Solanum lycopersicum: one gene and its partners. The protein of the gene in region 3 binds, or shares a complex with, the protein of the main gene of each other region. Links are inferred from orthologs where the notes say so. Each region holds a gene or a part of one and is shown on either strand. Other genes may lie near its edges.

Region 1 (4,356 bases), on a different chromosome or scaffold from region 3:
GAAAAGTGAAAACTGCCTACTCATTACAACAGTGAAGAATCTATATAACATCCTTTAACCATGAGATGCACAATCAAATTAACTGATTTTGAGTTACAAATGGGACTGGTTTACAAAGATCATGCACTTACAAAAACACTATGGATCTTTCCTCAAGAACCTATAATTTGTCGGATTAATTACAACGAAATCTACGTTTAAGTAGTAACTTCTGCAGAAAACAAGGTCCTGAGAATTGGCATTATGGCACTACTACCACATCGATGGTACATAAACCTGCTCTTTGAGATTCTGTGTGGCGCTTTCAGTAGGAAAACCTCTAACAGCACCTATTGTCCACTGGGATATTATGCCTGCTGCAATAGCAAAGCGAAGCTGTCTCTCTAGAACATCTTGATCGTGGTACATCTCTGGTTGTGTTGTCAACTTTCTCATTATTCCAGCGACAACAGCATCACCAGAACCAGTTCTATCACAAGTAAACGGTGTTATGAGCACATCTTCTGTACCAACAACCACCCCATCAAAAGAAGGGGAATAGTAATGAATCCTAAGTGTCCCATCTGTAACAAACAGAAGTTTCAGTCCGTCGTGCCACAAGGGAGCAATTTCCTCAGGAGTATAGTGATAATAATTTCTTCTTTGTTTGGTTTGTTCGTAATTCTCCGCAAAGTATTGAGGTCTATAATTCCTTTTCCTCTCGTAATGCTCTTCGTCAAGAAGAAATTCAAGCTCTTGCCTCGAAACCTCAATGATGTTAGCTTGCTGCCAGGCTTCCTTGATCAAATCCCTTGTTTCGTCACGTGATCTCCACAGAGGCAATGGCAGATTTAAGTCAAAAAATACAAGACCACCAAACTTCTTTGACAATGTAATTGCTTTAAAAAGAGTTGAACGCATAGATGAAGATGTCAAGACTTCAGAATTAAAGTGGAACATCCTAGCCTGCAAAACAGAAAGCAAAAGCATCCACGAAATTTGTTAATAATAGTTTCCCATCATCACCCTGACACAATTATTGAAGCAAGTAAATTCCGGAAAGGATAAAACTGATAGAAGATATATTCTTCTCCATAGTGGAGGTTCAAGCACTGTATGAAAAATATCCATCATGAATTTAACATCTTACTTCTGGTTCATACCAATCGAAAAAAACAATTTCCCTACCAAACAAGAGAATGAGAACTGATGATATATTGAATCATTTTTCAGCTTTCACGGTTTAAGGATCAACCAGTCTCAAGCTAAAAGACCGACAGTTTCAGGAAGATGAGTAACTAGTCAAGCATGAAACGACAAAGCAATTTGCTGCTCCAAATGATAACTAGTTGTCAGGACACTAGATTTTTTTAATGATAGGTAACTACACTTCCACTACCTCGCAACTAAAAGGAGTATATACGATTAGCACAAGTCAAACTCAAATAAATAAATTGACGAGAACTATGCATCTTTCGTCAATTGGTTTTACGAAACAAATGTGTCATTGCAAAGAAATGTCATCAGAGTGAAGAGATCAAGCAAACTTCAGAGCTGGAGAGAGCAATAAAACTGTTAACGACAGCACAATAGTGTCTACTGATAAATAGTGAGCTTCTCCAGCAGTCTGACTTCAATATACCTACTAATAAGCATTTATGGGGAATATTAGTGTTACTCTCTACATTCCTATGTGCGATGATGGAGATGGTAAAATAAGACTAGAAACCAAAAACAAGACGAAATAGTAGGTATAAAGTAGAGTACTTGGAATCAGCGGAATTCCAAAACTAACAACTACGAAATGAACTGGTTTCACAACGGGAGAACAAGATAAGAGCAACGACCCCAGCGGGTCAGACGATATCTTAAGAAAAGCAGCCATGGGGTTCTTTCATAAGCCATTTTGCGCAACATAGTTTAATACCAATCACATAGCAAATTAGATTCATGCATCCTCTATTAACATTTAAAGCCAAACATCACTACACAAATAGAAACAACAACATGCTTAATCTATCCATAAATAAAAATATATCTTTACTTTTAATAACAACACTTCCACATACCTCTTTCAGAACATCAAGATTCAATTCGGAGCTAAGCAGTGAATCCTCAGCAGAGTCTTGAACTTTCTCCACCCTCATTTTCCCATCTTTAAACTTAATTTCCATATAACTACATCCAGTCCTCATACTATCACTAAATTTGACAGCCCTTGTTTGCACTTTCTCTTTATTCATTAACAAAACCATTTCTTGTCCTAACTCATCACTCCCAACTTTCCCCATAAATGCAGCTCTACCACCAAGCCTAACATGAGATATAGCAACATTAGATGGAGGTCCACCAGGAGCTCTAACAAACTCAGGTGGATTCCACTGCAACATTTTCCACTCTGAATACTTATCTTTATCCATTTGCTCGGGTGATACTCTCACTGTTGGCACAAACTCCTTCTGCGCTGCACCAAAACAACAGACCAAAGGTGGGTTTGGGTATGGAAAATCAACCCCATCATCATAATCATCAATTTCTTCCATTTGGGTGTTGGATTCTGCAATGTTGATATCAAAGTTTGAATCTTTTGGGGTTCTTGATTTTTTTGAAGTTGTGGGGGTGGATGATTTTTTACGGCCACGGCGAGAGGGGGTAGGGGGTTCTTGGGTAGTGGTGGGGTGGTCATTGGTGGTGGACTTGGGTGGATTTGTTCTGTAAGGAAATTTGGAGGAGGAGAAGAAAATGGTGGGGTTTAGTGAATTGTGAGAATGATGATGAGGAAGAGATTGAGGAAGAAAATGTATTGTTGCCATGGTGTTTTTGCTATGTGCTAGGGTTTATCCATATCTTTTTCATGCCATTGTTGAAGAGAATTTGAGGTTTTGACTTCCATTCGGGTTTGGATAACTTGACCCGGTTGTTTTGACTGGTAGTGACAGTCGGGTCGGGGTTCTTACATTTTATTTTGGGCCTACTTGAAGTATTAGAACAACTTTCATGTTTAGCAAATATTAAAAAGATTAATCACGGAAATTTCACCTTTTAATTTACTTATTATCATTATCCCCTATAAGTTTTACAAATTTCCAAAATCTTTTATATTTGCGCATCACCTTAATATATCTCGGGCATCAAATTAATGTATCTCGTGCATCACATTAGTGTATCTCGCGCATGACATTAGTGTATCATGTATAAAATGTACCTCGTGAATCAGATTAGTGTATTTCATGCATCAAAGTAGTGTATCATGTATAAAATGTACCTCATGCATTAAATTAGTGAATCTCACGCATCAAAGTAGTGTATCATATATAAAATGTACATCAGATTAGTGTATCATGTATAAAATATAATGTATCTTACTTAACGATTAATATATCTCAAGCATTAGATTAATGTATCAACACTTATATTATTTTATCCGTTCGGAGGAATTTTTATAATTATAAAATTTTAAGGGACATATTGATTGTAATTTTACCTTAAAAGTATGTGATTTCTATAATTTGCCAATATAAATTAAGTAAGCAGTTGGAGGAAATCAAGGCGTATCCACTTTGTCAATCATATTTGTGTAAAAATCAGATTTGTATAAAATTGTTAGCAACTTCTCATTTGTATACATCGTTGGCAGCCTCTCATTTGTATAAATCGATGACAACCTTTCCATTCAATTTTATGTGTTCGTATATCTACATAAAATTTGTATTTGTATACAAATGAATCGAAATAAAACATTTGTATATCAAATCTCTCTCTCTCTCTCTCTCTCTCTCTCTCTCTCTCTCTCTCACTTTATGCAAACACAAATTATACATTGTATTATGTATATTTGTGTTTTGCATAAAGAGAGAAAGAGAGAAAGGCAAAGAGGACCGAGCAGGGGGGAGATTTGTATCATATAATTATAAGTGTATAGGACAAAGATATACATATTTACATGTGTATATACAATTTTCTCTCGCTTTATACAAACCAATTTATACATTTGTGTTTGTATATATTGAGAGAGGCGACGGAGAGATTAGCGAGCGAGAGGGAGAGTGGCGAGCGAGAATTTAGGGTGAGAGGCGAATGATAACAGTTTGCTATGGGTTATAATTAAATCAAGCTATGGTTATGACATTTAATTTGAATTAATAGATTGCTATTATATATAATTTTCTCAATGTATTTTAAGAAATCACCTAAATACACAGTATATTTTATCGTATCCTCTAAAATTTCCAACCATTTGAAAAAACTACAGAAACTCCTACTTTGTGCAATTTGCGGATACATTACTTTACGTGATATATCGATCAGATATATCACTTTACGCGATGTATAGGTCAGATAAATCACTATGTCCGATATATCGAAACGTAATACATC
Region 2 (4,287 bases), on a different chromosome or scaffold from region 3:
CTTTGTTGCCCGTAATGTGGTTAATCTCATATTTGGGTCAAGCAACGAAAATGTATTGAAGTAAAACATTTTTGCCTGTGTGACATATTAGAACAAAAGGAAACAACTTAGTACTAACAGAACATACAAAATGAATTCAAAAACAAAAAGAAAAAGTAACATGTAACTTATTTTATGATCCCATTAAGATTATGCAATATTAAGAATTATGTCAAGAATGACTTCCATGCTTGTAAATTCCAACAAAGAAGCCTATCGGAAAACTTTCACACCCAAAAGGAAAACTAGAATATTAATCTTCTCACATTTCCAAATAAAACTAGGTTTTTTCAAATTCTCACCTCCTTAAGTACATCTATATTGATCTCAGACTTCAATAAAGAATCCTCAGCACATGCTTTGGTGGTAGTCATCCTCAAGCCCCCTCTCTTACCTATCTTCATATGTGTAATGGCAGTTGCTCTTTTACTGTCAAGGCGAACTGATCGTGTTTGAACTTTGTTGATGTTCATAAAATATACCAAGGACTGACCAAAATCGTCATCACCAAGTTTCCCCATGAAGGCAACTTTACCTCCCAAACTCGCAAGAGCCACAGCAACATTACTTGAACATCCCCCTGGAGCCCTGATAAACTTTTCAGGATCCCACATTACATCCTTCATTCTTTCATGCCATTCATGGTCTACAAGTCTATTGGATGGCCTCCCTGAAGGAACGAATGCATGCTGTGCTGCACCAAAGCAACATACAAGGGGTGGCCATCCATACGTGAAGCTAATATCCTCTCCAACATCTATATCGAAGTCCAGTTCTTCCTCATTATCGGCATCAACATTTGCAACATGTAGCTCTTCTTCAATATCACTAAGTTCTGACTGGCTACCTTCATCCTCTAAATTTCTAACCTTCTTCCTCCTCCCCCTTGTGGCCTTTTGCGTTGGTTCTTTCTCCAAGCTACTAGAGCTAGAAGCAGCTGCAAAATTATGCAGATTTGCGATTCAAACTTCTTAAACTTACCAAATATAAAAGAGAGCACAAGTGCTCCATGATGAGGAAGATAAATTTATAAATTGGTTGTACCTTTCTTTGCAGTTCGTTTTCTTTTTTCTACAGGCTCTTCACTTGACCTTGAAGTTGGTGAGCCTTCCTCATCTGTCACATTGCCCTCCACACCTAACATGGAATCCTCAAATGAGCTCTCCTTTATCTCTTTTTTCTTCCGGGTTCTTCGGGTTTTCTTGGGCTTCCCACTTGATTCTGGCTCTGTTACAGCGTCTTCATCAGTGACATTACCCTCCACATCGGATATGGAATCACCAATCGAACTCTCCACTGTGTCTTTTTTCTTTCGGGTTCGTCTCTGGGTTTTTTTGGGTTCTTCAATTGACCCTGAAGTATTTTCCGCTTCCTCATCATTTGAAGACTCAACTACTTTCTTTCGCCTAGACAAAACTGGAGCTTGTTTTGATGTCCTGCCGGTCTTTTTCCCAGCACCAACCACCTCTGTCTCCGATAATTCCTCAGGTATACCCTCTGTAGTTCCTCCTTTTGAAACTGCCATTAGAACCCATTTATTTTTAAGTTTAAGATCTTGAAGTTGCATTACTTTCAAATTTGGGTAAAAGTTCCAATGCAGATGCTGCCTGCATATCAGAGAAAGATGGAATCTTAGTATTATCCTCTTCCTGTTTGAAGCATATTTTAGTTTCAGCAGTAGTTATCCTTCAAATTTACTCCATGTTTGAGGTCAGAAAATCTAAGATGCATAAAGAAGAGCAGAGACATTGAATCTCCGTTTGACGTTCATATTACAATCAAGACAAACACCCTCTCTGCATACTGACTGATTATAAAATTAAAAATTACTCGAAAGCCACTGATTTTGTTCGGTATTCCATACGTTAATGGTTGTTCTCCACAATAAATGAAACTTTGACGAAAAACTAATTGATTGCCTTTCTTTCAGTTATTCTTTTCCTCCTTCCTAGTCTATTAATAACAAAATGGATGAACTCTAACAATGCACTAATAAAAAGGGCTACCCCGCGCACTCGGCTAGTTCCTTAAAGTTGCCAAAAGAGCAACTCTAGCAGTGAAGCCAACACTTCCCTCTGTGCACTAATCAAAAGCATATAGAACAAAAACAACTACTACTACTACTCAATTCCAAACAAGTTGAAGTCGGTACATGAATAACCATGTTACTCCATTTAAATCACCTCAAACCAAAATTATGCAAACATAAATAATAGTCATGCCCTTCCCAAACCGCGCATAGTGGAAGCTTAGTGCATCCGGCTATGCTTTATAAAAAATGGAAGAAATTCGACTTGCCCTCAAACTAATGGATTAGTATATGAAAACATGGACACAGAAATTCAACTTCACTTCCAAATTTTACCACAAAAGAATATTATCCACACACAAGATAGTTGCAAAGGTGACACCTTTAGAAGTTCTGTACTAATTCTCTGTTTCTTGTATCATTTTTTTTACATGTAACCAAATGCACTAAACAATAAATGAAAGAAGCATATGAGAAAGACAAAAAAAAAACTTAAAAGAATTGAGTAAAAAGAACCTGGAGAGTGTAGAAAAAAAGCTGAAAGACAAAGCAGCCATAGTAAAAAGAACTTAAAGATTCAATCTTTACAACCCTGAAGACCCAATAATGGGTACTGGGGTTTTACACCTTCAAGGTCACTGTGAAGTAGTAAAGAGAAATTGGATGAGGAGAGGGGTTTTGGAATTTGGGTTTTTGAGTATTTTTTTTTCTTTTTTTAATTTAATTTCATTATTTCTAAATAACTATTTTTAATATACCTAAAGATATTTTTTATGACTAGAATGTCCCTAGTGTGTATTATAATTTAACAAACTGCCACTAGGTATGTTTTAGGCTTTGCTTTTCTATTAGTAAAATATAATCTGCTCAACAAAGAGGGTATCTAATCTGTTTCCAAGATCCCATTTTACTGTATTTTTTGATGTTTATAATATGATAATTTTGAAGATTTCTTCCATTTTTGTGAATCTTGGAATGCTACAGAGCCATTAACATTATTATCTTCATTGAGTTTTTGTATCATTGTTGAAATGAATGTCTTCAGGCGTTTTCTGCCCAAAAAAATTGGGTTCAAAACATCCAAGAAATCGTGTTATGGTAACTTCAAGCCCCTTTTTGTCCTCTTTTTTTTGTTTTCCCAATCTTTTTGTGCTCTATCAGTGATAAAGTTTCAATCTTTATTAGGTTCTGATGTAATTGGTATTTGCAATAAGTGGTATTAATGGAATATTTTGTTGTTGTTACTGTTCTTTTTTCTGAATGCTATGTAATGATATTGTTATTAGTTACTATGTCTGCCTTGTGTATCTATGTTAATTTTTGAAAGTTGCTTTGTTTATTGTGTTACTTGAGTTGAGTTGAAGGTCTTCGGAAATAGTCTTTCTACCTCTACGAGAGGGGTAAGGTGAATACTATTTTATACAAAATTATAGCTTTTTCTAAAGAAATTATGATGTCATGTTTCTGATTTTGTCAGAAGTTGATCTTTGAGATGTTTTGATGGGTTTAAGCTTCTCATTACAACATTTGATTGAGGGGTTATGTTGAATCTTGATGGATGTATAAGCCGTTTTTCTAAAATATTTATTTTGAACCTTAGAAATTGAGATAAAATGGACCTTAATACAGTCATTCATCCTCTGTAATAACATTTCTCTAGAACGGCCAAGCTCTTTATGAAACCGATTTTTCATGTTATGTAGCATTGTACTATAGCAGCCAAAAAAATATTTAGAAAATGATACCGTTATAGAGAAGTTTGTTTGTAGCACATAATGGACATAGAGGATTCATAGAGCTGAGACTCAACTAGTTTTAGGATTAAGGCATAAAGACGTAGTTATTGATTGATTGATTGATATTCTTTTTCCGATCTTGCTTTGTAGCACCAGGCGTTTACTCTATCCATTCGTCCCCAGATTGTGTAGTGGAAGTTCATTCCCCGGAGCAGGAAGTAATAATTGCTTTGGGAAGTAATGTCGGAAACAGACTTAATAATTTTGATGAAGCATTGCACCTAATGAAGCAATCAGGTATAAAGATTACCAGGCATGCTTGCTTATATGAGACAGCACCTGCTTATGTAACTGATCAGCCTCAGTTTTTGAATTCTGCTGTTAGAGGTGTCACAATACTAGGGCCTCACGAGTTGTTGAGAGCACTCAAGAAGATTGAGAAGGACATGGGTCGTACAACTGGGATTCGATATGGTCCTAGAC
Region 3 (4,201 bases):
ACAAGAGAGAAAACAGAACTCTCTTCAAAAACATTGATAGTATTGAAAGAGAAACAAATTTTAATTCAAGGCAGAATGATGGTGTAAGAGGTTGTACCTGCATATCTCGTGCAAATTCGTATTCATCATCTGTGTCCACTTTCACAATAAGTGCATTGTTTTCATACTCCACAGCAAGCTGTCAGATGAAATTGGAACAATTTTGACATTAGCAAAGATAACCTAGTGTGCATAGCAAGACATAACTAAACTCCAAGCAAACTATTTCAAACGAAACTTATACTTACTGATTTTGAGGAGGATTTTTACGTGTGGACAGGGGTAAGCGGAATATATTTCATAATCAATACACCAAGGTTGTGCTAAAAAGTATATATAGTTGGTTGTGTCTCGTTTTTACAATCATCCAACTTATTTATAGTTGGTTGTGTCTCTTTTTTACAATCATCTAACTTACGAGCCCAAATATACATGCATAAGGTGAGACTCTGTTTACACCAAAAGACAAAAGTATACTTGAAACGAAAAAGATATTTTGATACTTTTTGCATCATTTTAATATTACAAAACAATCTCCTTTTCTTATCATCAATGTCAGCTATACTTGAATTAGACGGTAGGATCTCCAATCTTGCAATCACACTAAGAGAGGGGAACTTACTCCTTATGCCTATCCAAAAAATATAAACTTATGAAGGCCTAGAAGTAATACAATTCTTTGATTTCGATTGTCGATTCGTGACATGCAGTTTATGATAGACAAATTCCACTAGGACATTACGCATTTAAACTATAGAAAGATCAATGTCAATCTTTCCTCCAAATAAAATAATAGGTAAAAGTTACTAGACAGCAGACTTTAACTTCATTATTCATAGCTTCTCATTAAAACTTATCAGTTACAAACTTTTACTAAAGTTTTTGCGAAAAAATAGATGCTCCTCAGCTAATAGTATTCCTTCACCACATAGCAGCACCTCATCCATTTAAGACAAACTCTCAGCATATTAACCACTCCAATACTGACACTGAATAATGGACGATCTGTGCCACCATTAATGTGACATTGTTGAATAAGCAACTAGGAAAATTGAAAATCACGAAACTCTCCATATCCACTCTGTCTACGTATATTTATTTCTCACAGGAACAATAAACACGGGGAAAAAAAGGTCAACACAAGGTTTTTCTCCAAGGAAGTGAGATACAGAAAATTGAGGATAAAATAGCCATGTGAGTATCATGATCACCTGAGATTTATCCCTATCTTTTCAACAATTGAATGTAGGCCCTCAGAGTTGCTATATCTTCAAATACACCATATCAATGAGCATAAGGTTTCCCTAGAGTTTAAAAGGATTATCCCACCAATGATTGACGAATCGTGCTTTATTTATATAAATATCAGGTCTAACACATTATATCATTCACGTTGATAGAAAATTTCGACTCCTAACTACAATATTTTTCCGCAACATTAGAAATTCAGGGATAATTGTCCCATCCCTCTACCCTTCTCTAGGTTTTCTCCTCATATGTAGCAATAGTGATTTTAAGCATTTAAAACAATTCCTGATCATTGCTGGAGCAAAATGATACCCTCACCCCCAATATGTAAGATTCACAAACATAGCATGTCCTAAAGCCAAATCGACAAGAAGTTGCATAGGTTGGCTGTTGGCGGACTGCTAAAAAATAATCAAACTATGATAGGATACTCTAATTTATAGCTAACCCCAACTAATTAAGAAAAGAATTGGAGCTAGAAAATGGAGTCATTACAAAACCAAATGGTTCTGCAAACTGGAAAATTGACCAATTCAAATAGCCACTTGATTTGAACCACAGTAACGAATCGTCTAGAGCATTTATCCATCAATCCCAACTCTACATTAAACCATCAATAGCAGATCAAAGAAGTGTTTAAGACATTTTTGTGTAAAATCCAAACTTACCATTTCAAGTTCTTGCGCCATCAAAATACAAGGACCACACCATGTGGCATAGAAATCAATAATCAGTGGCACATTCCTTTCTCCCTTTATCAGTTCTTGAATCTCCTTGGCAGATAATTTCTTCTGCAATCACATATAATTAGGGAAAATGAATTGGAATTAGCAAAACCTTGCGTAGCGCGCTCATTAGAAACAAAACCACACTTGCAAAAACAAATAACAGATGAATTCCTCTAAAACAGTCGCCTAAGTCTGGTTCCTTTTCGCTCTTGTTTAACCAGTGTTCCAGTTTCAGCAACAAACAAAGCTTATCCACAACATAAATTTCCAAATTGATATAAATTTTACTGAAGGTTCCAGCAGATAAACAAACCCAACAGCCAAATTCGTCAAGAAGATTACTACTACACCGGTGAAAAGTTTTGTTGTCTCCTTAAACAGAGCGAGCAAGATATTGGTACCTCATTTTGTTTTTCAATTGTAATTGTAATTTCACCAACACATATTTCCAACTTAACAAATTGATTTGAACTTTTTAAACAAAACCCAATAGCCGAGATTCAGAAAAATTGAACTAACATTGAGAAACTAACTGAAACTGAACAACCAACAACAAAGAATCGTAACATACCACAAGATAATCCTCCCTGACATATTTTCCAACAGCTGGGGGTTTGCAAATGGTATTTCTGGAGAGTACTTGGGTTAAAGATAGTGTGGAAGTTGAAGGAGCGTGTTTGAAGAGTGAATAATTGAGGTGGTGGGGAAGTTTGGAGGAGAGGTAAGAAGGTGAAGTACGGAGTGCCGGAGGGTGAAAGGCGAGACTGGCAGCTTGCATTCTTATAGCTTTATCTGCTCTGCCGGAGTGACACACAGCACAGGGAGAGAGACTCTGTTTGGGGTTTAAGGAGCAAAGAAAGAGAGAGCCAAAATTCCCAACGAGACAAAAAGATAAGGTTTATTACTAAATGGAAATACAACATGAAGGGCATTTTGGGTATTTTAAATTTCAAATTTTTGCGTCTATTTTATATACCATTTAAAAGTCTTATTTATTTTATTAAACATTTTCAAATGATTGAGATTTAACTGGATTGTGATGCATTGGAAGCATCTAAATAATATACTATTTCGGTTCGATAATTCAGATATATCAAATTATGAGACAAAATACGGTGGATTAATTTACTCCTCTTTTTTTTTTTTTTTCATATATGATTGATAAAGGGAGAAGTGATACAGTAAAGTCCTTGAACATACAATCAGCAAGAAAATGGAAATAGAAGTTAATTATTAGTAATCTAAATAAAATGTTCTCCATAATTAGGTAGTGGCTGGGTCAAGAAGGATATCATCATCAAATTAAAAGATGATAACAAGGTAATTTCTATTTCCACAGCTAGCTAGAGTATTATTATTATTTTCTAGCTCATGATGAACTTCTTCCAATTCTCAATGAAGAGTCAACTGATCCTTTGGTAATACTAGCAAAGAGCTTAGCAATCTCAAGCTGAGTGTTGGCAATGATCTCCGTTCTCTTGAGATCCATTTCTCCTCTTTTGGCCTCAGCTTCTGCTCTCATTCTCTCGATGTCTCTCATCGTCTCCATTCGTGCTTGCTCTGACCTTACCACTACTTCAGCTAGCAAACGTATGCTCTCTCCGATCTCCCACCCTTCCACGGCCCTCTTTCGCTTATTCTTTGATCTCAATTTCGACTTGCTCTTGTTGTCGCTGTACAGTGCTGGCGTGCTGCTGCTATTTGTAGCTGTTGCGTTTTTCTGATCTGGTGCTGCTGCGTTGTCCGATAATTTGGCGTCCATTAATATGTCTTCCTGGTCACACAAGTCGGCAACTTCACTTTCATGCTCATTATTATAGTAGAAGATAGTGTACAGTCTACAATGCTGCAAGTTTTGTTTTTTTTTTTTCATCCGAAGCTCGCATTGTAGCACAATTCAGGGATTACCGCTTTAAACAGAATTTTCCAACAGGAAGATGAAATCTTTGATTATGAGTAAAACAGTTTCATCACTACACCACGACCTATGTGTTTTGTTAGTTTCGTTATATTTTGTTTTTTCACTTGCTAATTCAGTAAAACCTTTGAGGGTTCATACTATTTCAGGTTATATCAGGTAAGTTTTAACACCCACTATAAAAGTTAACTTAATGACCATGACTCCAATATGAGAGTTCTAATTAGAAACTTAACATATTATTATTATTATGTAGAGTGTTTTTTTT

Evidence for each region.
Region 1: the proteins of CITRX (region 3) and fructokinase-like 1, chloroplastic are in contact, whole or in part, in a cryo-EM structure (PDB 8XZV), measured with the Spinacia oleracea proteins. The link is inferred for Solanum lycopersicum from reciprocal best matches to the Arabidopsis thaliana genes TRX z and FLN1. Residues at the interface, in XP_021862427.2 of Spinacia oleracea: Tyr73, Val75, Lys77, Ile83, Thr84, Val87, Arg88, Tyr100, Ala101, Thr102, Trp103, Cys104, Gly105, Pro106, Cys107, Ile108, Ala111, Gln112, Lys129, Asp131, Thr132, Asp133, Asp134, Tyr136, Phe138, Arg140, Asp141, Met142, Gln143, Val144; in XP_021865197.1 of Spinacia oleracea: Gln111, Lys112, Glu113, Phe114, Val115, Pro116, Ser117, Val118, Arg119, Val120, Ser121, His123, Gln124, Met125, Asp126, Pro127, Asp128, Ile129, Tyr130, Trp133, Met136, Gln137, Pro141, Phe143, Asp175, Phe176, Lys201, Ala203, Cys204, Ser205.
Region 2: the proteins of CITRX (region 3) and fructokinase-like 2, chloroplastic are in contact, whole or in part, in a cryo-EM structure (PDB 8XZV), measured with the Spinacia oleracea proteins. The link is inferred for Solanum lycopersicum from reciprocal best matches to the Arabidopsis thaliana genes TRX z and FLN2. Residues at the interface, in XP_021862427.2 of Spinacia oleracea: Tyr73, Lys77, Ile83, Thr84, Val87, Arg88, Phe99, Tyr100, Thr102, Trp103, Gly105, Pro106, Ile108, Leu109, Gln112, Asp131, Asp133, Tyr136, Phe138, Ala139, Arg140, Asp141, Met142, Gln143, Val144, Arg145, Gly146, Leu147, Pro148, Tyr151; in XP_021858068.1 of Spinacia oleracea: Gln218, His219, Ala220, Phe221, Val222, Pro223, Ser224, Gly225, Arg226, Pro227, Ala228, Arg230, Leu231, Ile232, His234, Gln235, Ile236, His237, Leu240, Lys241, Ala243, Phe250, Ile251, Asp282, Tyr283, Thr286, Trp308, Ala310, Met311, Ser312.

The regions. Positions count from the first base shown.
Region 1 is NC_090808.1:5,635,596-5,639,951, reverse strand, and holds the start of fructokinase-like 1, chloroplastic, read right to left. Parts: upstream 2,851-4,356; 5' UTR 2,793-2,850; coding exon 2,049-2,792; intron 946-2,048; coding exon 253-945; 3' UTR 1-252. UniProt on the Arabidopsis thaliana protein: Required for proper chloroplast development, most likely through regulating plastid-encoded polymerase (PEP) dependent chloroplast transcription.
Region 2 is NC_090804.1:5,637,337-5,641,623, reverse strand, and holds the start of fructokinase-like 2, chloroplastic, read right to left. Parts: upstream 2,843-4,287; 5' UTR 2,626-2,842; coding exon 2,585-2,625; intron 1,647-2,584; coding exon 1,084-1,646; intron 977-1,083; coding exon 342-976; intron 76-341; coding exon 1-75. UniProt on the Arabidopsis thaliana protein: Required for proper chloroplast development, most likely through regulating plastid-encoded polymerase (PEP) dependent chloroplast transcription.
Region 3 is NC_090800.1:83,416,858-83,421,058, reverse strand, and holds the start of CITRX (thioredoxin-like protein CITRX, chloroplastic), read right to left. Parts: upstream 2,893-4,201; 5' UTR 2,794-2,892; coding exon 2,587-2,793; intron 2,079-2,586; coding exon 1,956-2,078; intron 179-1,955; coding exon 98-178; intron 1-97. Other genes in the region: trihelix transcription factor ASIL2, read right to left, coding at 3,385-3,789. UniProt on the Arabidopsis thaliana protein: Thiol-disulfide oxidoreductase that plays a role in proper chloroplast development, most likely through regulating plastid-encoded polymerase (PEP) dependent chloroplast transcription.